4 linked regions of the Astyanax mexicanus genome follow. The protein of the gene in region 1 purifies or fractionates together with the protein of each later gene. This does not show direct contact. Links are inferred from orthologs where the notes say so. Each region holds a gene or a part of one and is shown in the gene's direction. Other genes may lie near its edges.

Region 1 (8,290 bases):
TATATAATAACGTTTGTTAGCTTCTAAACATATTTTTTATACGTTATCAATATATATATATATATATATATATATATATATATATATATATATATATATATATATATATATATATATACATATTGATATATATCAATACCTAATAGCTACAATTAGCTAGAACTGTAATCTGATAAGTGTGAAAGGTTATAGCTATTAAAACAAAGTTGGATTATTACCAAACAAACTTTTTTCTTCTTCTCATTTTAGAGGACATTTCTGTTGATTTAGTGAGTTAAATCTGTTTTGGTGTGTTAGTGTTGTTGGTCTGAGCTGTAGTAAATGTTAAGTTAGGTGAATGTTGTTGGTCTGACTTGTTGAGTCCCCCCCTCCCCTCCACCACCAGCTCCACACCCTGTTTGATCAGTAGATCCGCTCAGTAAAGTAAAGTTACTCGGTTCTTACTGCGGTGTTTAACCCGCGGGCCGGGCCCAGGTACTCACAGTTCTCCATCAGGGACCAGCAGGTCCAGTTGTCGTTGCGGCCGCGGCACTGCTCCCACATGCTGGCGTAATGGGACTTGGCGTTCTCGTCCTCCACCCAGCCGGACTGCGCCGCGATGGCGATGATGTCGAAGATCAGCGCGAACAGCAGCAGCAGCGGGAGGATCCACCGGCAGCGCGGGTACGCGATCCCACAGCGGAACATACCGACACCCGGAGAGAGGGAGCAGGACCGAGAGAGACAGAGAGAGAGTGCAGGAGTGAGTCTGTGTGAGTGAGGGAGTAGTGTGTGCTCAGCGCCCGGAGTCCAGAGTCCTTTCTGTGGCTCTCAGAATCCGGCCGACCCTAAACTACAGAACCGAGCAGCTCCTCCCACCTGAAACCTGAGCAGGGCTCGGCTCTGCCGGGCAGGAGCCGGGGAGGGCGGGGGCCGTGTGGGAGGGGCGCTGAAAGGGAGGGGCGCGTTTACTTTCCTGCCTTTGTTTTTGCAGTACATCTCCAAAAGTTTGTGTTCAGACTGCTAACCCAAATCAGATTCATGACAGATCCAGATTTAAGTCAAAAGAAATCAGATTTTGCATATTGATTTTTTTGTCCTGCATGTTTCTAAGAACTGACGTTAGTTGTTAAACATTCTGGTAATGTCACTGCATCGTCACTTGTGTCAATGTTTAGATTTTTAGTTTTGGGAATGTTCATTTTTTACACACATTTTTATTCTGTGTTAGCTGGGAAACCACGTTATCTGCTGTGGTAGCTGTGTGGGGTGCTGTGGTATCTGCATGGGTTACTGTGGCATCTGCATGAGACGCTGTCATCTGCGTGGGTTGTTGTGGTATCTGTAGGGGTTGCTGTGGTGTCTGCATAGGTTGATGTGGTATCTGCACGGGTTGCTGTGGTATCTGTGAGTTGCTGTGGTATCTTTATGTTTTGCTGTGATTCATGATTTTGTTCATGATTTTGTTTATAAATCATTGGTTGTTCATATAGTTTAGTTAAACATATCATATTGCAGACAAACACAGTGATATTTGAGAAGTGAAATGAAGTTCATAGGATTTACAGAAGGGTGCAATAATTCTTTAAACAAAATTAGGCAGGTGCTTAAATTTGGGCACCCCAGGTCTGTACTGGTTGCTGTGGTAGCTGTGTAGGTTGTTGTGGTATCTGTGTGGGTTGCTGTGGTATATGTGTGGATTGCTGTGGTATCTCTGTCGGTTGCTGTGGTATGGAGGTCGGTGCTCTCTACCTCTGGTTGAGTAGCTCTAGCACAGCATATGATGTCCTTTGATTTTAATTTAATGGTGTAGCTGGTCTGTCCGTATATCCAGGTTGGTTGTTCAAAATGATAAGAGCTCATACCAATACTCTAATTAAACATCCTAAAAGCACTCGGCTGCACTGTGCTACATTTTTTTGTGGAATTTTGGTCATGTAGAAATGTATCAAAAACATCAGAAAAAATAGGGGCTAAATATGTCAAGAATAAAAATATTGTATATAGTGTATATTTTATTCAAAAACTTTTTAGGATACTCTGGATAAGGATTATATTAGTAAACACAGCCTGTGCACAGCAGGTGTTAGTAGTAAAATGGATTCAGTGAGGTTTCAGGTAATGAAGCTTCCGGCAAATGTTTGGGCTGAAAAGCTCCATTTGACAACTGAACAAAAAGCTAAAAACACATCTCTAATTTGAAAGAAAATGGTTAAAGAAATTTAAGAGGTAGGATTACTGATGAAGGAGTACTTATACTTATACTTAGCCAATATTACACTTTATAGCACAAACCTCGAGTGTATTATTGGGATTATACCGCTGTTCCATTATTGCTGTTTATTGAAAGATTTTAAATTAAAGAGGATGAGAAAATACAATCTGTTTGGTTATAAACACTCCGTGAGTTAAAATGGTTCCATTTCTGCTCTGTTTGTATCGGTGCTGTATCGTTGCTAGGTTACCTGTATGTGGTGGAGTAATACATGGCGAACTTCGGTTACAGTGCATTACCGGCTGATAACGGCACTCATAGAACACTTCTTAGCCAATCACATTGTAGGGTCAGAATTAACTGTGGTATAACCAGAGTTTAAAACTGTGACCGAAATGACTCCCTATTAATTATTTAGGGCATTATTGAGTGTGTCAGAATCATGAGAGCGAAATAGATTGGGTTTTAGGGCACAATAAACCCCCATAATGCATCAGGATTTAAAGTAAACATTGCTGCTTACAAATCAAGCTGAATGTGTCCCAGAATGCATTGCGATTCTCACTGCAAAGCAACAGACAGCCGAACAAACTGAGTGGACAGCGAGCCACCAGGGTTGCCAAATTGTTACAGTGGGATTCAGATAAAAGTCAATGGGTAAAATGTGTTTAAAATCTGCATAAATGCAAAGAAAAACAGCCAGACAGCTGATGTTCAGCATATTTACAGTATCACAGGGTTTATTCCAACATGACCTTAAATAAAATACCTTAAATATCTTAAATATCATTAATTACAATAAAATGTTATTTAAATTATTTGTATTATGTGTTTGTGCATTGTATGATAGGACACATGAATGAAAGAAAAGTAAATACAGTACATACAAATAAACTCGCAAAAAATGACTTCATGACTTACATGAAAACATAATAATCAACACAAACACAGCGTATTTGAATCTCCATCACTGATTATTTAAATTTCCAAAGTCATAACACTTGGTAGTTTCAGATGTTTCTCCATTTCAGACAAACCAAGTCTCCCTGAAGCTGCGGGAGTCTCCCGCATTTAGGTAGTGGCTCCCTGATGCCCAGGGGCGTAGCAGCAAATTCTGGGCCCTGTACACCCTCTATGTTAATGGGCCCCTATCCATGCCAGTAAACAAAGGAAAGTGAGCGAAAAAAAAATCAGGATTTTCATGGGCCCCTCTCCCTACTCGGGCCCTGGGTAGTCAGGTCCACTTTTCCCCCCACTACCACGCCCATGCTGATGCCCACGAGTCACATATAATCTCCCGCAATTCAGAACGAGTGCCCCAAACGCGCACTGCACGCAAACGCGCACACAGGCGACAGTATGGTGGCCGAGAAAGCTCAACGCAGTGCAAATTGAAAAGCGCTGCAAAAGCACAAAACACATCCATCAAAATTACAACACAGGCGCAGCAAATAGAAAAACGCGCTGCAAATAGAAAAACACGCTGTAAATACAACCACAACACAACGGAAGTGAGTCACAACACAACGGAATTTTCCCGGGGGACCTCAAAAGATGCTGTACCAGCTGTGTACAAAGGACAATAAGTGGCAAACAAGCTTCTGAAAAGTAAGTTATGTTTATTACCTGTGATTACCATGGTTGTGTGCATATTATTAAAAGTTCTGCTTCACAAAACGCCTTGTTTGCCACTTATTGTCCTTTTTACACATAGTGAAGTCCGAGACGTTACTGAAGACGCAGCTTAGCTGGTCCAGTATCTTTTAAGGTCCCCCGGGAAATTCCGTTGTGTTGTGACTGACTTCCGTTGTGTTGTGGTTCTATTTGCAGCGCGTTTTTCTATTTGCAGCGCGTTTTTTTATTTGCAGCGCGTTTTTCTATTTGCTGCGCCTGTGTTGTAATTTTGATGGATGTGTTTTGTGCTTTTGCAGCGCTTTTCAATTTGCACTGCGTTGGGCTTTCTCGGCCACCGTCCGACAGACTTTTTTCTCTAATCGTGTGGGGGAAAGAGAGAGAGAAAACAGAGAGGGTTCTGATTGGCCTCAGTTTTTAGTGTGGGCGGGCAGTGTTTTTCCCCCCTTCCAGACGGTTCAGTTAGTGAGAGAAAGCAGATCATGGCGGAGGCAATATTAATAATTATTTTAATATGATATGGAATGTTTTGGATGTTGTGCAATTTTCTGTGATATTGTAACTGTCAATGTTTGTCAAATAAAGGCTTTTGTTTTTGTTTTTCAAAAAAAAAAAAAAAAAAAAAAAAAGGAAAGCAGAGGCAGGGCCTTCCAAAAAGAAAAACGTTAAAACTCATTTCACCTCTAAATACTCTAAATTTAATTAAAAAAAAAAAAAAGTAAAATTAATTAATATAAAAGTAAAGTTTCGTTATCTTTTGGTGTTATCTTGGGATGTCTGCCATTTAGTTTATTAATGGATTATGTTTGTAAACAGTGTAAATATAACAGAGCGATTCCTCCATTATCACTATTCACTAACTTTAATTTAGAGCTCAGTTCGTGTGTTTATGTAGTTTTAAACACAGTTCTGTTGTTTTTGGTGTCCGTGTTTCAGAATGATGAGGGCGTGTCCGAATTCACTTTAGTGAAGTACACAGTCTCTCGCTATAAAGCGCAACACTAATGAGGGAGTAGGGAACCATTTCAGTCACAGATAAACACCCAATCATCCATTACTCCGGATATCGATGGGGATTTAACAGGGCTGAGATGGTCTGGGGGCTCGCGGCGCTGTGTCTCCCAGTTATACAGGCTCAGAGTTCAGCATCATCCACCTCCACTCACTGAGCGCCGGCTCGCGGACTCCCTCTAGCGGTCAGTGCTATAGTGGAGGAGGCGCTCCTGCAGCAGCGCCCCCTGCCGCCCGGGAGACACAGCGCCGCGAGCCCCCAGACCATCTCAGCCCTGTTAAATCCCCATCGATATCCGGAGTAATGGATGATTGGGTGTTTATCCAATAACGATGTTAATAACAGGTTAATAATAACAGGATCTTATTAAAGCTATTTCTGAAATAGAAAGAACTGATTACAAGTGCTTCGCGTCACCGGAAAAGAGCGATATCAACTTCCGTCCGCCATGTTGCAGTGATACAGCGGGTTTCGGTTCGGTTAGAGATGATTTCCGCGCAGCTCCGAGCCCCGCAGTCCGGCACCATGCAGCCCCGCAATGCCGCCACCGCCGCCGCCACCCAGCACAAGTTCTCCCCGTACGCCTTCAACGGAGGGTAAGAGGACCACAACTTTACATCCAGAATATAACTGCTATTAGAGCTGTAGTTATAGAGAGAGCCGGTTCTGGAGTTGCCGCTGAACCGATGCTGCGGGTTTAATTTACCCGGTCTCCGGCTCACAGGTCCAGTTAGACTCGGTTCTGCTTCAGTGAGCTGCTGTAAAGTCTCTTTCTCTCTCAGCCCGACTCCAGCTCTCCTCTCCTCTCCGCCTGTAGCTCACCAGGAGACTCGCCGGTTATCAATAAAGTGTTATAATATTAATAACTCAATCTGTGCTTCAGTGACTGGAGTAACATAAATGATGTTGGGTAGATATCACTGTAAGCTGGTAGATATTATAATGAGAAGTATCAACAGTGTGGATTTTTCTTGATCAATTAGCAAAAAAAAACCCTTTAAATATAGGTTATATATTTCACAAAACACTGTAATGTAAGTATTGCGCTAGTGTACATTGCGATGACTAGGCAGAAAAGAGAATATTGTTCAGCTCTAATGTAGAGTCAACTTTCAGTTCAGTTTTAATAATTACAAGAGATTAAACCCACCCTGAATACCTGTTTACTGTAACTATCGTTATTTAGTTAACTTATCTTAGTCTTATATTTTAAAACTCTCCTCACTGTGTTTATTACATTATACAGGGACACCTGCTTAATCAGTTGTTTCTACTGAATTGTTTTTACTCTCCTTTTTTTGGTTCTACTTATTGTCTCTACTGTCCAGGGAAGAGTTTTCACTAAGTTTTGGAACGTTATAGTGAGGATGAGGATGTGATTTAATTCAGTTACAAGAGCATTATTGAGGTCGGGATGTTGGATGATGATCACCAACTCATCCCATCTTTAAGTATTGGATGGAGCTCTATCATTTCAGAGAACACATATCAACCCAACCTTTATGCTATGCAGGAAAACAAGGACAGAATCGGTAATACAAATAATTGGAAAGCAGAGTAATGTACACATCATACAGCAGAACTTACAACAATATTAAACCATTAATAACATCATTCTGATATCAAACATCAGCTGTTAATTCATCTCATTTATTTAAAGCGTTGTGTAAAACCTGAGTGTGTCTGGGTTGTGTGTCTGATTTCATACTGTAAATGTTGTGTTGCAGGACTGTGCTGGCGGTTGCTGGGGAAGATTTTGCTCTTGTGGCCTCAGATACTCGTTTAAGTGAGGGCTATTCAATCCATAGCCGGGATTCCCCAAAATGCTATAAACTGTAAGTGTGCACAGCTTTTGTTTTCATCTATGTAGATCCCTGTTGTGTGAAGTAAACAAAGTTATGCTAATATGGTCTGCTTTCACAGGACGGACACGACAGTGATTGGCTGCAGTGGTTTCCATGGTGACTGTTTGACACTGACCAAAATCATTGATGCAAGACTGAAGGTACGATTACTTTCACCTCTACATCTGAGACTGGTTTGATATTCAAACCACCAATACACAAGTTTCACTTACCTTAACTATCATTCCTTAGACAAGACCCAAGACACATGAGCCCAGCATAGTGTCCTGGTATATTCTTTGTGTTTGTTGGCAGGTTGAAAAAAACACATAAAATATATGTAGAAATGCACTATTAAAAAGTAGTGTTTTTGTCAATAAACTATTTATCCAAATAGAAGATGAATAAAAAATGTCCACAGTCCCTGACCTATTATGACAAAAATTAGCATTGTAATGATTTTTATATATATATATATATATATATATATATATATATATATATATATAATTTTTTTTTTTTTTTTTTCTCTTGTGTTGAGGGGAAAAATAATGTAAATGGTGCCCAAAAAAAGAATGGTGTGGTCTCCCTCTACAGATGTACAAACATGCAAACAACAAGTCCATGACAAGTGGAGCCATTGCTGCCATGCTGTCAACGATTCTGTATGGAAGGCGATTTTTCCCATACTACGTTTACAACATCATCGGTGGACTGGATGAGGAAGGTAAGCTTCTCAAGAAGGTAAAATTTTCTCAGATCCATTTTAAACTCCTACCTATAATACTCAGTGTCTTTTTATTTAATCTTTAACTTTTCCCATTCAAGGTCGTGGTGCGGTATACAGTTTTGATCCTGTTGGATCTTATCAGAGGGATTCTTACAAAGCCGGAGGATCGGCAAGTGCAATGCTGCAGCCACTGCTTGACAACCAGGTGAATTAGCTAAAATTATTTATTTAGATACACACAACAGAAAGTCTTTAACACAGGCAATGTTATTCAGATATTCTCTTAATACATGTATCTTTTTGTTAAATTTTTAATTTGTAAACTTTAACGTGTGATTAAAACAAATTCTGCCTTTATTCATGCATAGATCCGTTAAGCTATGTTAAAGGTTTGGGGAGTAAATGTACACACATACTTTACGATCCGTCACAGTACGGGGGGGGGGGGGGGGGGGGTCACAGGCTGGTTCACACAGAATACACGATACATGTCATCTGTAGGAACATGCGAGAACCACTGAAGGTAATGTGGAACCAAGTTCACAGCCGAGTTGCACCTGAGAACTTTAGATGAACACAGTTGTTTTTAGCAACATGTAACTCGCTTAGCCTGCTGTGCTAACTGTAGTGCTTAAAGTATTGGCTAAGTTTGGCAAGTGGAAGCAACCCCTTTTTATAAAATCTACTGTGTGGGGAATGGTTTTAGAAACATTTGTTAATGCATTTTCTACACCATCCGGCACCAGACGTGCTGATAACAAGAGCTAAAAATAAAAACTGCAACCCAACTTCTAATTCCCACAGTTTGTTTTTGTATTTTCAAAACATGTGGTCTGTTTTTTAGGAGCCAACTACAAGAGTGTGTTTATGCATGTATA
Region 2 (7,515 bases), on another chromosome or scaffold:
TATTTGACTGGGCAATGTGACATCTGGCAACAACCAACAGAGCAAACCGAGCCGTGCCATTTCAGGCAATAGGGGTGGGGGCATTATATTATGCACAAAAATAATAACGTGCCGCTTTTAAGTAGTAGAGTAGGTGCCCCATGCAATGTTTAAAGACAAAAAAGATGAGCGTATCATTAATAATTCACATTGGGTTTTAAATTTAATAATGTCATAATTTCAACACATTTCATTCTCAGTCAATTTGGCTCCCTGCAACTGCAAAATGGTTGAGGCCTAACGCTGGCTGCGTTGTCTGCGTATGCAGAGCGGCGGCCCTGATCGCAATACACGAGAAATATGTCTTTTCATATTTAATAAAAACAGCAGATTGCAGCATCTACTTGTGTTTATTATATGCCACAATCTAATAAACGATAGAATTTAACTTAGCATTATTAGAGACGTTTAAAGGACGGAAGACCATAAAAGACGTTTAAATATGTTTGTTTAAACATCGCATAATAGTCTTCTGAATGTTTATTGGTGGTCCTACAAACGTTCAATAAGAACGTCCCTTGCAACTTTTTGGCGAACCTTTTTTAGTTAGCTGGGAAAAGCATTTCTTTTGTTTTATTTAAATTTTATTTATTTATAGTTACACATAGTTAAAACTAAACTGTTGTCATGTGTGAAGTAAAACGCGTTACAGCAGTAGTGAGGAATTCAGCACAGTTTGTTGTTTATTTTTTATCAACTATAAAAATATTCAATCTATTTTTTTATTCTAATCAACATGGAAACGGATTTGTCCTCTTAAAGTTAAAAAGATTTGGAGCTTTTTTAAAAAAATAATAATAATTCAAATTAAAAAATAAAAAGATTCTTTAAAAAATCTAAACAAAATAAAAAATAGATATATTAAATTATGAAAAATACAAATAAACCGGATAGTTTTAGCAACCACAAAAAAATTAAACTTTAAAAAGCGAAAAAACATAGTTGGCATCAGTCTACTACGTTAAAAAACAACAATAAAAAAAACCTAAACCCCCCCCCCCCCCCACAAAATAATCAAATATTAAAAAAGCAAAATAAGAAGATTACATGAAAAATCATCCACAAAACAACTAAAAATAAAACAACTACCCGCAAAAAAAATCCTCAAAAAATAAATATTAAAAAACGACCAAAGTTTACATAAAAAACAACCATAAAAAAACACCCCCTCAAAAAAATAACCACATAAATATTTACATTTTAAAAACAAAAAAATAAAAGATTACAATAAAAAAAAAAGTTGGTAGATATTTTTAATCAGATTTTGGACTTGGATGTGTTTTTTTTTTATTGTTTGTTGGCTTATTGCTATTACTTTGGAACGTTCATGTCAATGACATCACAGTTTTACTGCTGTGGATATAAATATGACGTCACTGTTCAACACTATAAAAGGCTCAGCAGCACGAAAAACTTCAGTCGTCAACGGATCTTCGCAGCGACAACATGTGTGCAGTTCGAGGGATACTAGGAGCAGCCAGCCTTGCAGCTCTAGCTATAGCTGCCGGTGGATCGCTTTACTACCTGTACCGATCCAGAACACAGAAGCCGACGACAACGGAGGAGACTACGGTCACTCCAGTGGAAGGAGACCCTGAAACGGTGGAGGAGAGGCAGGCTGAGCCGATGGTTGAACCTGTACTCTCCGAGACTGTGATGGAGTTGGTGGAGGAAGATGGAGGAGTTGACTGCCCCAAGGAAGAAGATCAGGTCACTCTCATTATGGATGAGGCACCAGAAGCTCTCAGCCTGCTACAGGTCACTGACTCAACAGAGTCAGAGGAAGCTGAGGTGACCCTTAATACAGAGCTTTGTGAGAGTGTGGTGGAAACACTGGTGGAAGATGGAGGAGTTGACTGCCCACAAGAGGAAGATCAGACCACTCTCATCATGGATGAGGCACCAGAAGCTCTCAGCCTGCTACAGGTCACTGACTTAACAGAGTCAGAGGAAGCTGAGGTGACCCTTAATACAGAGTTTTGTGAGAGTGTGGTGGAAACACTGGAGGAAGATGGAGGAGTTGACTGCCCCAAGGAAGAAGATCAGGCCACTCTCATTATGGTTGAGGCACCAGAAGCTCTCAGCCTGCTACAGGTCACTGACTTAACAGAGTCAGAGGAAGCTGAGGTGACCCTTAATACAGAGCTTTGTGAGAGTGTGGTGGAAACACTGGAGGAAGATGGAGGAGTTGACTGCCCCAAGGAAGAAGATCAGGCCACTCTCATCATGGATGAGGCACCAGAAGCTCCCAGCCTGCTACAGGTCACTTATTTAACAGAGTCAGAGGAAGCTGAGGTGACCTTTAATACAGAGCTTTGTGAGAGTGTCGTGGAAACACTGGAGGAAGATGGAGGAGTTGACTGCCCACAAGAGGAAGATCAGGCCACTCTCATCATGGATGAGGCACCAGAAGCTCCCAGCCTGCTACAGGTCACTTATTTAACAGAGTCAGAGGAAGCTGAGGTGACCTTTAATACAGAGCTTTGTGAGAGTGTGGTGGAAACACTGGAGGAAGATGGAGGAGTTGACTGCCCACAAGAGGAAGATCAGGCCACTCTCATCATGGATGAGGCACCAGAAGCTCCCAGCCTGCTACTGGGCACTGACCCAGCAGAGACTAAGGAAGCCGAGACGGAGGCTGAATGCAGACCCGAAGCTGAATCCAAAAAGAAGCATAAGAGACGAGGGAGACGAGGAAGATCACAAAAACTACGAAGACTAGGAAGACTACGAAGACGAGGAAGACTAGGAAAACGAGGAAAGAGGCTGTATAAGTAGGACAGTGTAGGAATAAGTGGATTTGTGTCAACGCAAAATAGAAATAAATCTGCATAAATCAAAATTTACAGTGTAAGGGGTCTTTTTTAGGTCTTTTAGTCCTTTTGAAGTCTTGTATGTGAAGTACAGTAGCACACTCCAGAAAAGAATAAAAAAAACAACCTCAAAAATAATTAAATATGAGAAAACAAGCAAAAAAATATTACATAAAAAATCAACCACAAAAAAACAAACAAAAATACCCTTAAATAAAATAAATAAATAAATAAAAAAGGTTTACATAAAAAACAACCATAACAACCTGGCTGAAGCTGAGGTGATAGTGGAGCCTGTACTCTGCGCGATTGTGATGTAGTTGGTGGTGGAAGACGGAGGAGTTCACTGCCCCCAAAAGGAAGACCAGGCCACTCTCATTGTGGATGAGGCATCAGAAGCTGCCAAACACTGGTGGATGATGGAGGAGTTCACTGCCCTCAGGAAGATCAGGCCTCTCACATTATGGATGAGGCATCAAACGCTTCCAACCTGCTACTGGACACTGACCCAGCAGAGACAGAGGAAGGAAACTAAGGTAAAAGATGTAACTGCTACAGAAGCTGAGACAAAGGCTGATAATGAGCAACCAGGAGGTTGTTGGGGCGAAGGTGGGATGCAAACTTTTGTCACGAAAAGTAGGTAGTTAGAGCAGGTATTTATAGGGTGGTTTATTGATAAGAGGTGGAGTTAGAGCGTGGAGTTTGGGTGTGGTCCTTCTCCCAAACTTTTTTTTACATATCATTTATGGATATGAAATATCCATAGCAAGCAACAAGAAGTAACATCTTCAGAAGCACGTTTACAAAATTAGCGGTCAGTTTCCATATCACACTTATATTTTAAAAGAAAATCTTTAAAAGAAAATGTTATATATTAATTTCAGCCTAATTTCTCTCACTTTGTTAGAAATTAAATATTTTAAAGGTAAAGACCACACTATACACTCTACTATATAATACTATTCCAAAATGATATTACTTAAGGAATTGTAGCAATGTCTTTCTGAAATAATTCTCTTATCAGCTTATTATTTTGCTGGTGTTTAGCTGAAAGCATACAAGTGAGTGACAAGGAAAGTTTACACCTCTCAGCAGTAAATTTGCACCAACTGGTATAGCATTTATCACTGTAGAGTATTATCACTGTAGAGTACTTGTCAATTTTGTATTTATTAATTAGGTCAATATAACTGTATGGTCTACTATTTGATTCAAGTAGTTGACCAACTAAAATAAAATGATTCCAGTTTTCATAAAAAAGTGACTTGAGTGACATAAATTTATCCAAGAGCAGCGTGTAAGACTGGTGGAGGAAAACATGTCAAGATGCATGAAAACTGTGATCGAAAACCAGAGTTATTTGTTTTCTTTGCATTATTTGAGGTCTGAAATTCTGCTTTTTTATTTCAGCCATTTCTCATTTTTTTGCAAATAAATGCTCTAAATGACAATATTTTTATTTGGAATTTGGGAGAAATGTTGTCCGTAGGTTAAAGAATAAAACAACAATGTTCATTTTACTCAAACATATACCTATAAATAGCAAAATCAGAGAAACTAAATGGCTCTCTTTTATTTTTCCAGAGCTGAACGTCATTAAATATTGCTGACACATTGTCCACGTACGTCAACTCGACGCTGGACTTTTATTTTGAAAAACACCGGTTACTTACAAAACCAAAACCATCTCCGCCTGCAGGCTCTCAGCACAGTGACGTCTGTATCAACACACTTCAGGTAATGTTAACTAATGTTAGCGATACAGTAAATCTACCCGAGTAACAGAGTTTTAGGTCTATTCGGACAGAACGGCGCAATTTTAGCTAATCAATCTGCTGCAACTTCGACAAGCTAGTTAGTTAGCTTAGCTAAAAAACTGTTTATCGAGTGAACCCCCGCTGCTGTGTAAAGTGAATGTGACAGAATCATGTCAGTCTTTACAGAACGACAAGAATAACGCAGACCACACAGGACTTCAGATATAACAATGATAAAACATTGGTAAAAGAGAGCAAGGCTGCTGTATGTGTTGTGTGATACTCAGACAAATCCTAAGGAAAGCTCATCTCCACACGCCTAACGTTACTCCACTTTCTCAAATGAGCTAAGCTAGGGTTAGCTAGTTACATTGGCTAGCGTTACATAGTTAATTAATTCTACAGTATTTGTTTACTAGAAAACATTGAAACATCACATTGAATTCAAACAGCTAACATTTTATTGTCCTTGAGTTTAGTAGGACGTCCTGTGTCTCTTTGGGTACACCCCACCAACTTCACTCTTTTGAGTTCCATTATTTCCAAACCAAAACGTGTTAGACAAACAAAAAAATTCTTTGTGTAAGGGTCTTTTTATGTATACTGCATATGTGTTCATTAATGTCTTTTATATACAGTGCCCTCCACAAGTATACAGTTCAGTACACAGTTCAGAAGATAGCGTCTTCTGTTTGAACCCACACATTTTTCTTGTGAGCAAAAATATTGGAACAGATAAACTTAAAGTCAATTAAAGTGAAACATACTTAATGTTAGGTTGCAAATCATTCGCTTTCCAGGCAGTGGATTTTGGGTCATTATCTAGTTGCATAATGAAGGTTCTCCCAAACAGTTTGGTTTCATCTTTCTTTAAATTAACATTTTTCTGTAGACTTCTGATTTAATTGTACATCAATGAACAAGAATCATGACACTACTTCCACTGTGTTTTACAGATGAGCTGGTATGTTTGGAATCATGTTTAGATACTTTCTTTCTCCACACTAGCCTTCCATCACATTGGTAAAGGTTAATCGTTGTTTCATCAGTCCATAGGAGTGTCTTTGTACTGCTTGGTAAATAACAAATTAATAGTGGTTTGTATTATCTGGTGATGCCTAAATACTTTTGTTCACAAAGTCTTCGGTGAACAGTAAATTGTGATACCTTCACTTCCGCCCTCTGGAGGTTGTTGCTGATGTCACTAAAGGTTGTTTTAGAGGTTTTCTTTAAGTGGTTGTCTTTACAGCTCTCTAAATGTTTCCGTCAACTGCTGTGTTTTTTGCTTGTTCTACCTGTTTATCCTATGTTGTTTAGTACACCAGTGATGACTTCTTCTGCAGGAAAGTTGTCCTGGCTATGGATAATATTTATGCAATGTACCAGATCTAGATGTAAATACTTGGAAATAAAAGTTAAAATGTAGATTTTTTTCTCTCTAATCTTTTAGTGTCAAATTTAAATGTTTTCAGTCTACAGTCTTCAGTCTTGCACTTAGGGTGAATAAGGTTTAAGTGAGGCGATAATACATTTACAGTACCAGTCAAAAGTTTGGCCACACATTCTCATTAATTTTAAGGTGTATATTCTTATTAAAACATTAAAACAACTAAGAGACGCATATGGAATTACATGGTAAACAATAAAAGTGTTTGGCCTCACCTGACCTAAACCTAACTGAGATGATGATTTGGGATGAGCTGGAGAACAAAAGCAGCAACTATTGTTCAGCACCTCCAGAAACTCCTTCAAGATGCTTATAAAACGATTCCAGCTAACCCTGCCTCATAAATTCACTGATAATAACATAAAAAAACAAAGTGTGCAAATCTGTACTTAAAGCTAAATATGGATATTTAGGATATCTTAAGTATAAAACATATTCTGGTTTGTTTAACCATTTTTGTTTACAAAATAATTTCAGATGTTATAGAAAAGAAAGAAAACACATGTGTGTCCAAATGTTTGATTGGTACTGTGTAAGTGATTATATTGATAAAAAATGGTTATTGTCTTCTCAATTTAGCTGTCAATGACTTTAATGTAATTTTCCTTTGTACAGTATGAAGTTAAGGGTGAGAATTAACAAGCAGACCAGCCGTGTGGAGCTGGAAGAAGCAGAGCCCACACTGACTGAGCTCAGTATCCAAGTGAAGGAGGTGTTGTTGCCCTCAATCGGTTTCAGGTAAGTGCCTTTTATAGCCACAGTAAACATTTTCAATGTTTTTGTCTTTTAAATGGTAGATATACTGTTGATTGTGTGATATGACCAAAATGCATTGGCTGCTGAACGGAGTTTCATAAGGTCACAGTCATTTGCATAAGTGCTGAGTATAAAGCTCCTTTGATTCATGCACATGTTCATTCTTCATGCAGTGCTGATACAGAGTTCAGTCTGTCTCTGAATGGGAAGGAGTCGCTGGTGGACACTGGGCAGACGCTGTCCTCGTGTGGGGTGGTGTCCGGAGACATGATCAGTGTGATTTTGCCTCAGAGCATTGCTGACTCCGCCCCGCCACAGCCCTCTACTTCTCAGACTCACAACAGAGCAACAGATCAGCTGAACAAACAGCAGAGTCAGAGTCACACTGTATCAGCCATGCAAAGCTCCAGTCAAGTGGTGAGTACTGTTATCTGTCAGACAGATATGATCAAATCAAATCTGTGTAATGTTATTACATGTTCTGATATAGATTTGTCCACATTAAAGAGGCATTTAAACAATTGACAGATGTGGGTCAGGTTAAAGTGTTTCTAGATTTGAATCAAATATGTGGTTTGTGGAATCTGGTAAAACTTGGCACTTGACTATATGTAAATAATATATTTTATACTTTTTAAACTTTGAATGAGTAAAATATAATCATCTGTACAGTGTTAATGTAACCAAATTATGTGCAAAATTA
Region 3 (7,234 bases), on another chromosome or scaffold:
CATTGAAAAGCATTGTGCTGTTCATGGTAACTTTATCTTTTAGTCTACTATTAACCAACTAGATTGCTTAACAGAAGAATCATTTATTAGTTATCGTTATAATTGTTTTATGTCCTCAATTCATAAAAATAGTCAATAAGAAAGGCCACGTATTTCAATTTCTTAAAAGGGACATTTAATTATGGTAAACGTATTGTACAACACAGTCTCACTACTGTCTATATATAAACACAAAGTTAACTTGGTGGATTCTCAATAATGAAATCAGAACCACAGTGAATAATATATAGAATCAAGTCCATACATACTCTGTCCATGTAAGATTTGAACCATGCAGGGACTGCCTCCTCTTCAACTTTGGTCACTTTGTTTTCTTTCACAACCACCTACAAACAAATAATAAGCACAATCAAACAATGAAATTGAAAAATTGTAAAAAAAAAAAAAAAAGAAAAAGAAAAAAGAAAAAAAAAAAAGAAAAAAGGCATATGTATATCTCGTACTAAACATCATGCACAGTACAATTTAATTCAAATCCGAGTCCTTACCGAGTCCCGCTCAGGGGTCACTTGTGTTTCCTTGTCGGCCACTTTTACTCTGGCCCGATATGGCGGAGCAGGTCTGGGGTCTATTTTGATTTCTTTACCTTCCGCCTTAACAGCCCCACCTTCAGCCTGGCCCTTCATCTTATACACGTTCATGTGAAGCTGGTTGGCTTGCTTAAATGCACTCTAAAGAGAACATTAAGATTCAAAACTGTTTGATGTTGTAGTCTTTTAAAGGTAAGAGACAATTAAAATGCATTAAACATATTTTATTATAAACACCAATTATGCATAGTCCTCTAACCCACCACCAGCTGTTATAACCCAAAGTGTAAAATTAGAAATGACGAGTTCTTACCTTCAGAGCCTCCATATACTCATCTGGTGAAAGAAAAATGTTTTAAAAATATTATGAATAAATTTAAACGGCACTTAAAAAGACATACCACATTTACCCCATACAGCCAAGGATTAAACAGGATTTATAATTACTTAGATAAATAAAATATGGCAACATAAATCACCTACCTTGACTGTTTATGGATATCTAGAAGTTTATTTCGGTTTCGCAAAAATATATATACACATAAGAAAGAAAGAAAAAAATGTATAAACAAAAAGAAACACAACAGCAAATTTATATGCATGGCAAACAAAAACAAATACAGACTAAAAAAAGATATTATATTTATTATATATTGCCCTTCCTTTTTACATAAGTAATCTACAATTTGCTGTTATACAATGTACTGACAAATAAAAACAGAAACATCAAACACACATTTGAGGTAATAATGATCATTCATCAGTTTTAAATGTTGTTCATCTTTTTTACCTTTTGGTGAACTACACATTCCCAACACTGCTTTAATAGATAAACATTTATTCTTTATATATTTCTCTTGCTCTTATTTTCTTTAACATACGTATTCGACTACATTTATAGCTGCTCGCTCGAAATTCAGTTTAACTTCTGAACCCAGTTAGGTATTTATAACATCTGATATTTGTATGTTATCTGTTCAATAATAAAGTCAATAAAATCATTATTATATGAAAGTTAGTAAATTAATAAATCATTTGTTTGTTGGTTCATACAAGTCTGCTTGGATCTATTAAAGCTTTTTTTTATAGATTTGTGTTAATTTTATATATGTGTTTTACCACACCACCACACAATAGGTAATGTAGCTATAGAACAGTACAGTTTTCATTGTGATTTTTAATGCTGTATTTTTACATTATAAATTATTTTAGACACAGCACATAAATAATCAATTATCATACACAGATATATATATATATATATTTCTGTTTAACAAACCACACAGCTCTGAAAAAATAAGAGACCAGAGTTTCTTTGATTTTTTTATCACTAGCCATCAAACCAAATTTTTGCACCAAACATATACATATAAATAGCAAATCCACAGAAACTGAAGTGGTCTCTTTTTTTTCCCCAGAGCTGTATGTGGTTACCCACACTACCACACAATAGGTAATGTATAGAACTGTGAAAAAACAGTACAGTTTACACGTTTTTTATACAGTAGTTTTAAATTATAAATGATTTTAGAAACAACACATACATAATCAATTATCATACACAGATACATTTTCATACACTTACTGAACATAGCTAAATTCAATACTATTTTTTCATAAACCACATAATATAAAAATCAGCTTTCATGATGATAATTTCGATGATAATTTATTATCAAATAATGTATGTAATAAAGACTAAAAAACATTATTTTGATATCATTTTAACTTTTCTAATTTTTGTCAGTTACTATGATAGAAGCATTAACATGGTCAAATCATAACATGACCATAACATCAGGTAGCCAGGTTATTTAACCTAGCTAACGTACTGCTTACCTCTTCGTTGTCCTCGTCAAAATACTTCACTTGAAAATGGCATAATCCAAAAGTCGTTTTAATCTAAAGGCAATTAGAGAATTAAGGGAATTAGCTAACAGGAGGAAATGACAGCACAAAGGGTAGGTAGTTAGCTAGCTAGTTAATCTAGGTAGTGAGCTAACAAGATAACCTACGTTAGCTAGGTTAGTTAAGTAAGAGCGAAGAATAAATGACAAAACAGCAACAATAAGAAGAAGAATAACACTGAGAAAATAACATCAGCTAAAGCTAGCTACTATCTATAAACGATTCTGTCTTAAATGTCATTGTCACCTGGAGACCGAGGCCACGGAGGCCAGGTGACAATAACGACACAGCCGCATTTTCTCAGGCTGGCTAACACTGTCAGACTGCTAATTTATCTACACTAGAGCCTGTTAATGAACACCACAAAGGAAACATGTAGAAGCGAAGGTGCTGTGGAGCGAACTTAGCGGGCTATCGTCCTCCTGTCTGGGTTTGTTTATGTGGGCCTGCGCCTCGGCCTTACCCAGGCCTCCACCGTCTCCCACTGCGCCTTCTCCGCGTCCACCACCGGCAACTTCTTCACACTGCCTCGGAAATTCACTTTAACGGTGACGGGGTGATTCATCGTCTTCAGCCGGGACTGGGTGGGGGGAGTAATCGGTAGGATAGGGACGCTGAGATTCACGGCGGCGGATCCAGCGTTATCTTTCTCCCTCTCTCCCTCTTTCTGTCTGTGTGTCTAACTGTCTGTCTCTCGCTCCGTCTCTCCGTCTGCCCGTTCTTGTTTACATCGTTTAACTCGTACACTCCCCCACATCCACGTAACAGGAAGAGCCCCAGCGCTGCTTCTCCTCTCACCGCCGCCTGTTTTCTGGGCTGTTTAAACCATTAGAACACATTTAATCTAAAATCAACAGAATAACAGGATTTAACCCTAAATGTAAAATAAACTCTTATTAAATTATATAGGATATGTAGAGGGGGCGGGGCGGGTTTTGCGCATGCGTGTTTGGCGGTGACTTGTCATTCGGTCGCACATCAGTGTTGCCAGATTGGGCGAATGTGTTTTTAAAAAAATAATTAAACGATGTAGCATTTAAATAGTGTTCAAATTTAATATAATTGTTTTACTAGATTATATATGTATATGTTAGGATCTCAAAAATCGGGCTATTTTACGCCAAACTGGGTGGACTCTGTTGGGCTGGTGAGTAATAATGCATGCAGGTTGAAATATTTATTCATATATACATACAATAAACGGTATTGCTTTATAAACCCAGTTGCCAGAAGTTTGACTAAAAAGCTTATTTTGAGTTTGCACGAGTAGATCCTTCTTTTATTTCTTGCAAGTTTCTTGAAAATCGGTACATTTTTAGAGTTTTCTCTGTTGATTTAAATATTTTAATACTGTTAATATGCGGAACATTCCTAGTTTTGTTTTTGGGTGGTTTTTCACAATTTTTGGTGGGATTAAATAAACATGTTGGCAGAAAACAAATGTATGAAGCTCATCAGTGTTGCCAGATTGGGTGATTGAGAATTGAGAATAGTCTGATATACTGAGACACTGAGTTTTGTGTCTCGGATTTTTGTAGGCCGTAATCATCAACAATTAAATAAATAAACCTAAAAATAGACCATTCTGTGTGTAAAACGTCTATATATTATATGAGTTTCACATTTTGAACTTAATTACTGAAATAAACATGTTTCTCCCTACTGAGCGCCTTTAGGAACACTTGTCTCAATCTGGCAACCCTGTCGCTCATTTCTGAACGTCATCTCGGAGCGCGCGAGCACCTTGTGGCTGACAGTCAGCAGTAAAAGCCACACGTTGGGTTAGCGCTGTTCAGACAATCCGCGGCTTTTTATCGTTACTGATCCAGAAACATGTCTTCGCTTTTAAAAGTGGACAGTGAAATCAAGTCAAAGGTAAGCGCGTTCCTCTCCTTTATAGCGGTGTCAGTGCGGGAGAGCGGCGTTAGGCCCTTCGTTAGCCGTTAGCTTACTCGATGTGGAGCAGCGGAGCCGGTGCAGCGGGAGAACTGCATAGCTAACCTCAGTAACTATCGCTACCTAACTTTCCCGCGCCGGAGCCCAGCAGCTCCCCGGTTAGACACAGCGCGGGCCGGCTGTTAAATTGGTAGATGGCCGTGAGTTCGGACACGTTTAGGGCTTTTTGTTTGGTAAAAGCTTTCTCAGCTTGAGGTGAATCACTGAATTCCCGCTGTGACTTTTTATCTAGCTAGCATGTGGTCTCAGGCTCGCCGGTGTTTTGTCGTGTTGTGCTATCCATCCATACGTGTTACCATTAACAATGCGCATGCGCTGACTCATTTTTAAACGTTTTCATTTTTTTTTTTACATATCTTGGAGGTTTTTTCTTTGTTAATTCTGTTTTTTCCCCATTTACTTTAAACATCCAGAGCTCACTATCATTATTTGCTCTTGTTGCAGCAGTGTTAAAGGCGACAATTAAAAATATATTTATTTTCATAAACTATTAAAAAATAAAATATGGTTTCTAATCTTTTCTTGTAGCTATTTTAATTTACTTGGTAGAGTGATTCAGGTAGCACATCTAAATATGCTAACATATTTCTGCCGCAAGCATGTTCTAATGTTGTGCTTTTTTGTGTGTATTTTTACCTTTTATATATATATATATATATATATATATATATATATATATATAGTTAGCTACACTGGGGTAGCAAGGTTTGACGAGGTAGCACACCTCGCCAAAACACCGGCTCCATTCAGTTAGCCGCTATGGCTAAAAGCCGTTCAATCCTTAAAACACACCAGCCAAACAACTCATTTTTTACCAGACAGTTAAAATTCAAATTACAGATCTCTGCAATGCATTTATACTAGTAGAATCTCTGATATGAAGAGGTTTAACTGGACGTTTACTAGGGCTGCAACGATAATCGATAATGTCGATTATTTTCAATTTGTCGACTACAAATTTTATTGTCGACTAATCGTTAGTTTTTAACAGTACGTTACTGCATTACACAAAGTGCTGGAGATAAATGTGCAATGGGAGATGGGCAAATGGCCATACTTGCTATACTCAGTCTAACACATGCCTTCATTTGTTTCTCTCTGCCTGGGGAATTATCGCTTGTAAACATGCTAGCTAGCCATCTGATAAGGCCAGTGTTTGCTTAATTACCCACCTATATACCGAAGTTTACTTTGAGCTACTTAGCATAGCTAGCTAGCCGTGGAACTAAAGGCCAAGAGTTGGTCCTTGCTAAATTAATCACCTGTTTTGTGTAAAGCAGTTGTCTCGTAGGTATTGTGTTAGAATTTATAGAAGGTAATCTTTCTTTTTTGCCTTTACAGGTTGATGTTTTCAGAGAACGAATCACAGGAGAGGTGAGTTTATCTAACTTTACACAACTTTGAAAGATGGCATGTAAACACTTCGGTTAATTTCTTCTAAAAATGTCTTAATATCACCTTTAGGCCGAAGATCTGGTTGCAAACTTTTTCCCTAAGAAATTGTTAGAACTGGACCAGTTTCTCAAGGTACTTTTGATTTTAAACAGCTTGTTTATTGTGCGATTTGTTCTGTATTTTTATTTTTAGCAAGTAATATGATTTGTTTCAATTTTCAGGATCCTCTCATAAACATCCGTGAACTGAAAGAAATCCATTCTGAGATCAATCTGACTGTGCCAGATCCAATTCTACTTACAGACATCCATGACGGTCTTGAAGGGGTAAGAAATTGACTTAGAGATTAGAGACATTTTTATTAATTGATTTGAGGCCTTTTCTACTAAAAGAGTCGAATTATATGTCACCATTTTCTAAAGAATAGAACATTTTGTTAAATCTTTCTAGGTGTAACTTCGGGGAATGCACAGTAAATAATCACTATTCATTCAATCAACAGCAAAATGCCAAAAAAAGAAAACTTGAGGATGGTCCAGGAGATGACAAAGGTAAGTTCTGCTAAATAAAGTGTCGTTGTTTTTGGTGAATTTGTAGCTGTTGTCACAATGTGGCCTCTTCTTATATGTAGTTGGCGGGACCAAGGTCTATGTAATGCCTGGTGGAATGATGAAAAGCAACGGCAAACTAGTAGACCTTATTGAGAAGGTTAAGCCTGAAATCAGAACCCTCATAGAGAAATGCAACACGGTAGGTCTAGGTTTTACCTTATGAGCAAGAATTGTCACACTTGGGATCTTTTGTGTTCATTCTGCAACTTATCAGCTTTTTGTTTGTTTTCTAGGTAAAAATGTGGGTACAATTGTTAATTCCAAGAATAGAAGATGGCAACAACTTTGGGGTTTCAATCCAGGTACTTTTTAAAAATATTTTGAACACCTGGTTGCAGCCTGATGATGCTGTAATAACAAAAAAAGTGAATTGAGAAAAGTGGATGGTCACGTTTAGTTGACGGCTATTACTTTTATTTCTCTTTGTAAAGACATTAAGGAACTGTTTACAATTTTAAACAGCAAAAGTAGTGTAGAGTTGGAGTTTAAACTGTCTGTCAACTCTTGCAGGAGGAGACTGTGGCTGAACTCAGAACAGTGGAGGGAGAGGCAGCATCTTACCTAGACCAGATATCAAGGTACTGTCAGTATCTCCACGCTGTTTATGCACAGATGTTTCAACGTTTGTTGTTTTACTACCCTGCTTGTGGAAAAGCATATGGCTTTGTAATGCACATATCCCTCAATTTTGTGCAGATGTGGTTAAGTGTCTTTTTTTTCTCTCTCTCTCTCTCTCTCTCTCTCTCTCTCTCTCTCTCTGTCTTTTAAATATAT
Region 4 (8,245 bases), on another chromosome or scaffold:
AACCACCAATCAACATAATTTTATGATAAATGCCTGAAATGCCTCACTGTAGAACCCAACTGTACAACCTAACATCACCAGAGCAATCACATGGGATGTCATAGTAACAATTTTTGGAAACCAAAGCAACCAACCTAGATACTATAGCAACACTATAGCATCCAAACAGTAAACTCTTATCAACCATTGCAATGGGAATTGTCTGGGAAACCACCTCAACCACTTAACATCATAGTAAATAGTAGTAGGAGTTATTTACTGATACTAATATTACAAACAGCATTCATTTATATACATATTAGCAGTGGCATTGTGGATTATATTATATAGTTCTTTAAAATTTATATACATTTTTTTTTAATCCTCAATTATATCTATTTGACAATGTGATATTTGTTTTGCATAAAATACAAGCAGTTAATTGTATTTTCACTTTTAAAGCTAAAATTTGGATCCACTTTTACAAAGAAGAAAATGTCATATGTATATATATATATATATATTAGTGACTCACAAAGTTAGTATGATGGAGACTTATTGGGGTGAGAGTGGGGTCTTATGTCACATGTGTCCCGTACAGAGTTTATCTGTGGATGAACGCTCATCACCTGCTCATCCTTATTACAGGAAACATTAAAACTCAACTCACGGCTGTATCAGTTTTACCTGATTTTATTAATGTACATTCATTTATTATTTTTTGATTTACTTTATTGTTAATTTATAAATGAATAAATTATATTAGTTAGTCTCAGATCTAACTTTTAGCAAAATTTTTCCTAAATATCTTATAATGTTATAAAGGAAATATCTTATAAAGTTTAGTCATGTTCCCACAATAAGATAAATACATGATTGAGCCGCTTAGTCTAATGGGTTAAATTGTTTTGTGTATATATATATATATATATATATATTTATTTCTTAGAATTTTCTTTTTCATTCCTGTTTTTTTGTACATGCTCTAATCTACTGATAATAGACGTCATAATAATAAATAATGTTTATTTATTTATTTATTTATTTTAACATGCTCGGCTCTATTGATAATGCGTGCCATAATAAAGGATAATGTAATGTTTTATTTATTTATTTATTTTTTAGAATTTTTCTTTTTAATTCCCTGTTTTTTTTTAAACATACTCGACTCGATTGATAATGCGGGTCATAATAACGACTGATTAATTGATTGTTGTGGTAAATAGTATCTTCTGTTTGGCTTCTTCCAGATGAGTCATGTCCCTTATAGGGTAAATGGGATCAGCTCAGTGAATCAGAGGGTGGTGATGTCATGCAGAAAGAGGGAAGGTCAGCAGCAGAATTCCTGTTGGGGGGCTGGACAGAGGGGAGGGGGGGGTCCTGTTTCAATGTTTCAGTGCCCTGTGTCAGAAAGACTGGGGTTGGGGGGGTTGGTTGTTTCTCTGTGTGAGTGTGAGGCAGGACTTCCTTATGGGCGTGGTGAGCTCATGTCTCGCATTCTTCTTCTCCAGCTCTGTGTTTCAACACCACCAACTGCAGAGAGAACTCCAGAAGCTCCAGACCAGGCGGGGCTGGACCAGCACCGGACCCAGTGTCCTGTTTCTGCTTTGCCCCCTTCTATAAATAAGCGGGGTGATGTAGGAAGGGGTGTTTTCTGACGCCACGGCCCAGGAATGGCTCCTGAGTGACGGGGGGAAGGAGGGAAGGAGGGAAGAAGCCCCCACAGCTCTCTCTCCATGACTGGGAGTATTTTTGGCCGTGTTGTCATCTCTCCGTAACACGGGCGTATATATAAAGGAGAGGCTGGAGGAAAAATGCATCTGTACAGCAGTGCCCTCACACACTACCCTCCTCTCTCTCAGAAAGTTCTGATAACTATCAGCACCAGCAGCGGCAGCAAGCCATCTGCCGAAGACTCCAGCTCTGCTAAAGCCGCTAACTTCCAGAACGCAGAGGAACCGTTGGCTGGAAACATGCCTGCCTTCGCCTGTTACGACACTGCTGCTTCCATGAGGCCGCATTTGTTCACATCCAGAGCTGAAATCATCATAACCCGGCCTGATGGAGTGGAGAGATCTGTTCCAATTCATCTAGTGAAGCAAGGGAGTCATCTAGACCTTCTGGGATCTACAACAGAGAATGGGTCTAGTAAAAAACCTGGATTGACCAATCATCATCAATCATCAACACGCGAGGATGTTTCAATATATGAGAGCTTGCCAGGAATTATTAGAAATATTTGCAGAGCATCTGAGTCTAAGGATGAAGAGGAACCAGTAGGCTTGTGTATCGCCATCAACGATGCGACGACTCAACAGCAACAGTCGTCACAAGGTTCTTCACAAAGTGTTGCGTCAAAAGACACAAGTAAAGAAGAAGAGGAAGATGAACAACAAGAACAAGAAGACAACGAAGAAGAATATGAAGAAGATGAAGAAGAAAAGTCGTTCTACCCAATCAAAAGCAAAGACTCAACCAGAGTTCCATTAGAGCGACAGCCAACCGAAGAGTACGAATACGACAAAGACCCAGTCTTCGAACTCAAGATTCTCCAAGATTCGCCCCCAACCGTGGTCAACAATAAGACCAGCAGCAGCAGCAGCAGCTCCAGCCTTAACGACAAAGTGAGCCAATACCTGGCAGAGGTGGACAAGCAGAACAAGTACCTCCAGGACAAGAGGAGGTACCGTTTCCACATCATCCCTGATGGAAACTGCCTTTACCGAGCAGTCTCTAAAGCCGTGTACGGAGACCAGTCCATGCACAAAGATCTCCGAGAGCAGACGCTCTACCACATCGCCGACCACCTCGATGAATTCAGCCCCATCATCGAAGGCGACGTGGGCGAGTTTTTGATCAACGCGGCGCAGGACGGGGCCTGGGCCGGATATCCCGAGCTTCTTGCCATGACTCAGATGCTGAATGTCAACATTTACCTGACCACTGGAGGCAGTCTGGAAAGCCCTACCGTGTCAACCATGACGCACTACCTGGGAGAAGAAGACCTGTCCAAACCAGCCATTTGGTTGAGTTGGCTGAGCAACGGACATTACGACGTGCTGCTGGACCAATGCCAGCCCAACCCCGAGTACGACGACTGGTACCGTCACACGCAGGTTCAGCGCAAACGCGATGAGGAACTGGCCAAATCCATGGCAGCGTCCCTGTCCAGAATGTACATTGAGCAGAATGGCCTTCACTAAAAGGAGCTGACCAGATACACAATGCACTGTTCCAATGATAGCATCTACTGTACTGTGCTCTTTATATACTTTATATACTGTATTTGTTTTGTTTTCTAAAAGGATTGCACTTCTGATTCCAAAATCCGTTTGGATTAAGTTGCCTTAATTTATTGTAGCTGTGTGTGTGTGTGTTTGTGTGTGTTTTTATATCAGTGTTTTTAAGTGCAGCGCACAAGACATGATGTGTAGAATGTGGAATTATGTGGAAGCCTGTTGGCTGGGTGTTTGTGTGTATGTGTAAATATGAGTGAAAGTACTGGGAAATTGTGATGGTGATTTATATATATCTATATATTTTTTTTCCAAACTTATTAAAAAAAGTTTATCCTGCTTCTATTGGAGTAACTGTTTCTATTGTGCAAAGAAAGCTTTCTACTACAGCTCTGGAAAAACATAAGAGACCACTCCAGTTTCTCTGATTTTACTATTTATAGGTTTATGTTTGAGTAAAATGAACATTGTTGTTTTATTCTATAAACTACAGACAACATTTCTCCCAAATTCCAAATAAAAATATTCTCATTTAGAGCATTTATTTACAGAAAATGAGAAATGACTGAAATAACAAAAAAGATGCAGAGCTTTCAGACCTCAAATAATGCAAAGAAAACAAGTTCATATTCAATATGTAAGTGAGTATAATAAATAAATAAAATAACCTTATTTCCAAAAGGCATTTCCAAGGACTGACTTTCAGCTGGATATTTTTGTTGGACCTGGCAACCCAGGCTCGGCTGCTCTCGCTAACCAGCAAGGTGAGGCTCAGCTGTATCTCCAAAACGCCTATGGTTTATTAAAGGTTGATGAAACGACATTGAAACAATGTTGTCCTTTCAACTGTGTTTTACTTTTCAAATTGAACACCAAATCCAACGTTGATTCAACCATAACATCAACGTTTCCAGCTGGCATTTCAACATTGAATAAATGCTGGAATTGATTTTAAAAAGTGAATTAACGTTGAAATAGCAGTTGTTTCAACGTTAAACGTTCAACCTTAATAAACCATCCCCGCTGGCATTTCAACGTTGAACAACCTTGATGTTATGGTTGAATCAAGGTTGGATTTGGTGTTGATTTTGAAAAGTGAATCGGCGTTGATATGACAACGTTGTTTCAACGTCATACGTTCAACCTTAGCTTACTAAAATGAGAAAATCCTATGGTGAACAGTGTTAACAATAAACTTAGATTACTGCAGTAAATACAGAGTATAAAGAAAGTTTATACCCACCACCACTACCAATCTAATTACTGAACATCTGACATCGAACATCAAAAACAGTAAAACACTAAAACAGTAAAACTATTAGAACATGAACATGGTGTTAAATAAATAAAAACAGTTACTGCAAATAGAAATAAAACACTTTTTAATTTCTCCATCCAAACGTTTTTAGAAATGAACGTTATATGGTGATGAAATGTAAAATGCTGATTTAAAAGGAAGAAGGTTGAGGACATTATATTGATTCAACATTAAAATTTCAATATTAGCACAACCATTTAACATTAAACGTTGATTCAACGTTGTTTCAACGCTGAAGCAACAACAGACATTACTTTAACCACATTTTAACGTTGATTCTAAGTAAAATTCCAGCTTGGTTTGTTTGGGTGCGCAGTTTGTTCGAAAAAGTTCAGACTTTAATTTTGTAATTTCAAATTAAGAGTCCGCTCTCCTCTCGCGGCTGGGATGGGAATTACTGATTAAATACAACTCGATTTAGTTTCACTTTCACCCTGTTCTCTCAGTCTCGCGCCTCGTCGTTTGATCGTCGAGGATAAATTATATTTTTACTAAATTTCACAGTCAGAGTTTCAGTAGTGAGCAGAATTTTACCTGTAGCTACACCTGAACTTTACCTGCACAGAAATGACTTCTATGGATATGAGCCCTGCGTCTAAGAAAGAGGTGAGCTGTGGATTTTGGTTAGTCACTGTAGGCCTGAAAACTCAGATACTCCATTTTTATTACAGCTCTTCTTTATACTGCATTACCTCTTATCTCCTATACTCCAGGCCTGCAAAATACTCTAGCTTTTCTTTATATAACAACAATAATACTTTTTACTTTTTATCTTTTCTTTTACTTATTTCTAAAAAAAAACACACACACACAATACAAACAGAGACGTCCAAGATACATTTATAAAACATGCAATCACGTTTTTTTAATGTATTTATAATAAAATCAGAGAACTATATTAAAAATATATATGTTTGCAGTAATATCTACCCATGTTCTTATAATCTCACTAAAATTATACACACACGTGGACAAAATTGTTGGTACCCCTGGGTTAATGAAGGAAAAACCCAGAATAGTCACTGAAATAATTCGAATCTGATCAAAGTAATATAATAAATAAAAAATTCTATGAAAATAAACCAATGAAAGTCCAATGTTGATTTTGAATAGAATGATTTAAATTAAAAAAATAAACTTTTAATTTATTAAATTATGTGACCAAAGGGACATGTTAAATCAAGGTGTGTCCACTGTAATTAGCTAAATATAGGGCTGATCTTGGAATCATGTTCTCCATGTTCACCAGTCTTACACACTGCCTTTGGATAACTTTAAATGTTCCATGACTTCTGTCCAGGCCTGTTTCATAAGTTATTTTTTTAAAGCATGGTTAAAACAGAATATCTGACTTTCATCTGTTCATTTTCATAGAATTTATATTTATTATTACTTTTATAAGATTCAAGTTGTTTCTGATACCTTTGTGGGTTTTTCTTTAATTAACCGAGGGGCACCAACAGTTGTGTGCACGTGTGTATGTAGATATAGGTCAGAACTGTTCATTTTTGCTCTAAACATCCAGAAAAAATAGAACATTTTTTTATTTTTTTAATGTTGTTAATCAGAATGTGTTTGGAAAGATCAAGCTAGTTTTTTTTTTCAGTAAAGCATAAGAATTACAGGGTCATTATAAAATGTAAAGATGTTATTTTTATTACTTTTAACTCTTTTTTTTTATTTCTGTACTGTCTCTTAACATTACTTTGAACTTCTCTACTTTAAATCTGATGATCCTCTGTAAGAACAATAACACAATATAACAGTATGACGTTCATGTTAGCATTTATTTAATTATTTATGTATTTTACAGGTTGATGGATTCACTAAGAAGTCCATTAAAGAGGTAAAGCGTTTTCTTGGTTTGTAGACTCTCCCAAATAAAAAAAATATATATATTTTTTTTTTCACAAGTATCTCAGTCTCAGACTCCTCTCATTTCTCCTCTCTGGCACAGGCAGAGCAGCTGGTCTCAAGTTTCTTCCCGCAGATGATTGCCAAGATGGACAACCTGTTGCAGGTAAAGTGTCTGGTTCTGATACTTTAGCTTCTGAAAGATTATGATATGATATCATAACTGCAGATAGAACTACAGATATATATATATATATATATATATATATATAAATATATATATATATATATATATATATATATATATATATATATATATATATATATATATATATATCTGTTATTGATTTTAGGCCTCCCTGGGTTCAGAGGACCTGTCTGCTCTCAGGGCTCCTCTGGACATCCCGATCCCGGACCCCGCCAAAGAGGAGCTGAAGAAGAAGAAGAAAAGTGAGGTAGAGTATTTATTTACATCCAGACCAGACATTAAAAATCTACCAGTTCCTCAGAGATACTGATGACCTCTCAGCGAATCACATTGCAGGGTCAGAACTAACTGTGGCATAATGGATGTTAATGGATATTGATAGATAAAGCATTGTAAGTTTTATCTTTCACACAGAAAGAAGGAAAGGATGGAAAGAAAGACAAAGGAGATAAAGAAGAGGAGGAAGGTAAAGTATATCTTGCTCTGATACTGGACACAGTTAAAGCTGCACTTACAACTCATTACATGTGATAAATTTCATCTTATATTTTTAAAATGAATGCAAATCCATACATCGACTTAAGCCCTATCTGGACAGGATTAGTTTCTAGTTTCTCAGGGGGTTCTGGGGTAATTTTCTCTTTTATGGGTTTTTCTATCCTCTGTGATTTTATTCCTGTCCAGAACGATCATGTAGGTGTTTTATTTCTCAGACGTCCTCTGAGAAAATTACAGGCTGAATTATCTACTGTTTGAACTCCGTGCTCCTCCGGTAATTTTAGTCCCGTCCGGACGCACATCTCTGAGTTTCGTCTCCTCGCCTTTAAAAAAATAGATATTTGTTCACTGCCGTGCACCGTAATTACACTTTGGGAGCCACGGTTTCTACAGAGATCCACGTTAAAAAAAAACACAACAGCGAGTGGAAATGGAGGACCGAGAAAAAAAACACTGATCCTCCTGTTTTTACAACTGCAGTCCGGCTCCAGGAGTTTTATCACTAAAGAGTAGAAGTGTGAAATATTTTTCACAGACGCCCCCTGAGAAACTAATCCTGTCAATAAGTATATATAACAATAAGTTATTATTGATAAGTGCCTTTATGCTGTTTTGAATGTAAAAACGTTGTCCAAATTAACAAATAAAATATCTGATATATAAGTTTTTATATAACTATTAAGAATAAGAGTGTTAGATTGTGTAGTGGTTATCTCTTATTGCACTCTTCATGCTCAAATGTTAACAGGATTGTTTTTTTATTGGTTTAGCTGGTCCTCTCTGTGGTCCGATTGCTGTTAATGAGAAAGTCGAGAGTCTCATCAAAGAAATTAAGCCTCACATTCAGACTCTGAAAGAAAATCTCAACACTGTAAGTGACTCTTCTCATTTATAGTATTAGGTATATAAGTATAATCTTAATATTATATATATATGAAGTTTGGGTGTTGTGTAAAAAATAAAAACGGACTACAATGATTTGCAAATCCTTTTCAACCTACAACTGTGTAAAAAATGAAGAGATCACTTCAGTTTCTGAATCAGTTTCTCTGATTTTGCTATTTATAGGTTTATGTTTGAGTAAAATGAACATTGTTGTTTTATTCTATAAACTACAGACAACATTTCTCCCAAATTACAAATAAAAATATT

The links.
Region 2: the proteins of psmb1 (region 1) and fbxo7 purify together in Homo sapiens (affinity purification with mass spectrometry; 3 studies listed by BioGRID and IntAct, counting the BioPlex papers as one, with this or other methods). This does not show direct contact. The link is inferred for Astyanax mexicanus from reciprocal best matches to the Homo sapiens genes PSMB1 and FBXO7.
Region 3: the proteins of psmb1 (region 1) and psme3 fractionate together in Homo sapiens (co-fractionation; 3 studies listed by BioGRID and IntAct, with this or other methods). This does not show direct contact. The link is inferred for Astyanax mexicanus from reciprocal best matches to the Homo sapiens genes PSMB1 and PSME3.
Region 4: the proteins of psmb1 (region 1) and psme1 purify together in Homo sapiens (affinity purification with mass spectrometry; 4 studies listed by BioGRID and IntAct, counting the BioPlex papers as one, with this or other methods). This does not show direct contact. The link is inferred for Astyanax mexicanus from reciprocal best matches to the Homo sapiens genes PSMB1 and PSME1.

The regions. Positions count from the first base shown.
Region 1 is NC_064414.1:16,613,142-16,621,431, forward strand, and holds the start of psmb1 (proteasome subunit beta type-1), read left to right. Parts: upstream 1-5,263; 5' UTR 5,264-5,324; coding exon 5,325-5,434; intron 5,435-6,565; coding exon 6,566-6,673; intron 6,674-6,761; coding exon 6,762-6,843; intron 6,844-7,279; coding exon 7,280-7,409; intron 7,410-7,510; coding exon 7,511-7,617; intron 7,618-8,290. Other genes in the region: p53 apoptosis effector related to PMP-22, read right to left, coding at 483-687. UniProt on the Homo sapiens protein: Non-catalytic component of the 20S core proteasome complex involved in the proteolytic degradation of most intracellular proteins. This complex plays numerous essential roles within the cell by associating with different regulatory particles.
Region 2 is NC_064409.1:44,922,251-44,929,765, forward strand, and holds the start of fbxo7 (F-box only protein 7), read left to right. Parts: upstream 1-4,491; 5' UTR 4,492-4,589; intron 4,590-6,671; 5' UTR 6,672-6,672; coding exon 6,673-6,794; intron 6,795-6,985; coding exon 6,986-7,229; intron 7,230-7,515. Other genes in the region: uncharacterized protein LOC125798983, read left to right, coding at 1,486-1,797, 1,966-2,817. UniProt on the Homo sapiens protein: Substrate recognition component of a SCF (SKP1-CUL1-F-box protein) E3 ubiquitin-protein ligase complex which mediates the ubiquitination and subsequent proteasomal degradation of target proteins and plays a role in several biological processes such as cell cycle, cell proliferation, or maintenance of chromosome stability.
Region 3 is NC_064422.1:28,879,597-28,886,830, reverse strand, and holds the start of psme3 (proteasome activator complex subunit 3), read left to right. Parts: upstream 1-4,207; 5' UTR 4,208-4,331; coding exon 4,332-4,373; intron 4,374-5,795; coding exon 5,796-5,828; intron 5,829-5,918; coding exon 5,919-5,981; intron 5,982-6,070; coding exon 6,071-6,175; intron 6,176-6,351; coding exon 6,352-6,400; intron 6,401-6,480; coding exon 6,481-6,599; intron 6,600-6,693; coding exon 6,694-6,762; intron 6,763-6,970; coding exon 6,971-7,038; intron 7,039-7,234. Other genes in the region: nbr1a (NBR1 autophagy cargo receptor a), read right to left, coding at 309-386, 549-731, 904-926, 1,074-1,092, 2,430-2,492, 2,962-3,063. UniProt on the Homo sapiens protein: Subunit of the 11S REG-gamma (also called PA28-gamma) proteasome regulator, a doughnut-shaped homoheptamer which associates with the proteasome. 11S REG-gamma activates the trypsin-like catalytic subunit of the proteasome but inhibits the chymotrypsin-like and postglutamyl-preferring (PGPH) subunits.
Region 4 is NC_064413.1:749,295-757,539, reverse strand, and holds the start of psme1 (proteasome activator complex subunit 1), read left to right. Parts: upstream 1-4,945; 5' UTR 4,946-5,100; coding exon 5,101-5,139; intron 5,140-6,346; coding exon 6,347-6,379; intron 6,380-6,490; coding exon 6,491-6,553; intron 6,554-6,740; coding exon 6,741-6,842; intron 6,843-7,009; coding exon 7,010-7,061; intron 7,062-7,863; coding exon 7,864-7,964; intron 7,965-8,245. Other genes in the region: transcriptional regulator ATRX, read left to right, coding at 1,794-3,182. UniProt on the Homo sapiens protein: Implicated in immunoproteasome assembly and required for efficient antigen processing. The PA28 activator complex enhances the generation of class I binding peptides by altering the cleavage pattern of the proteasome.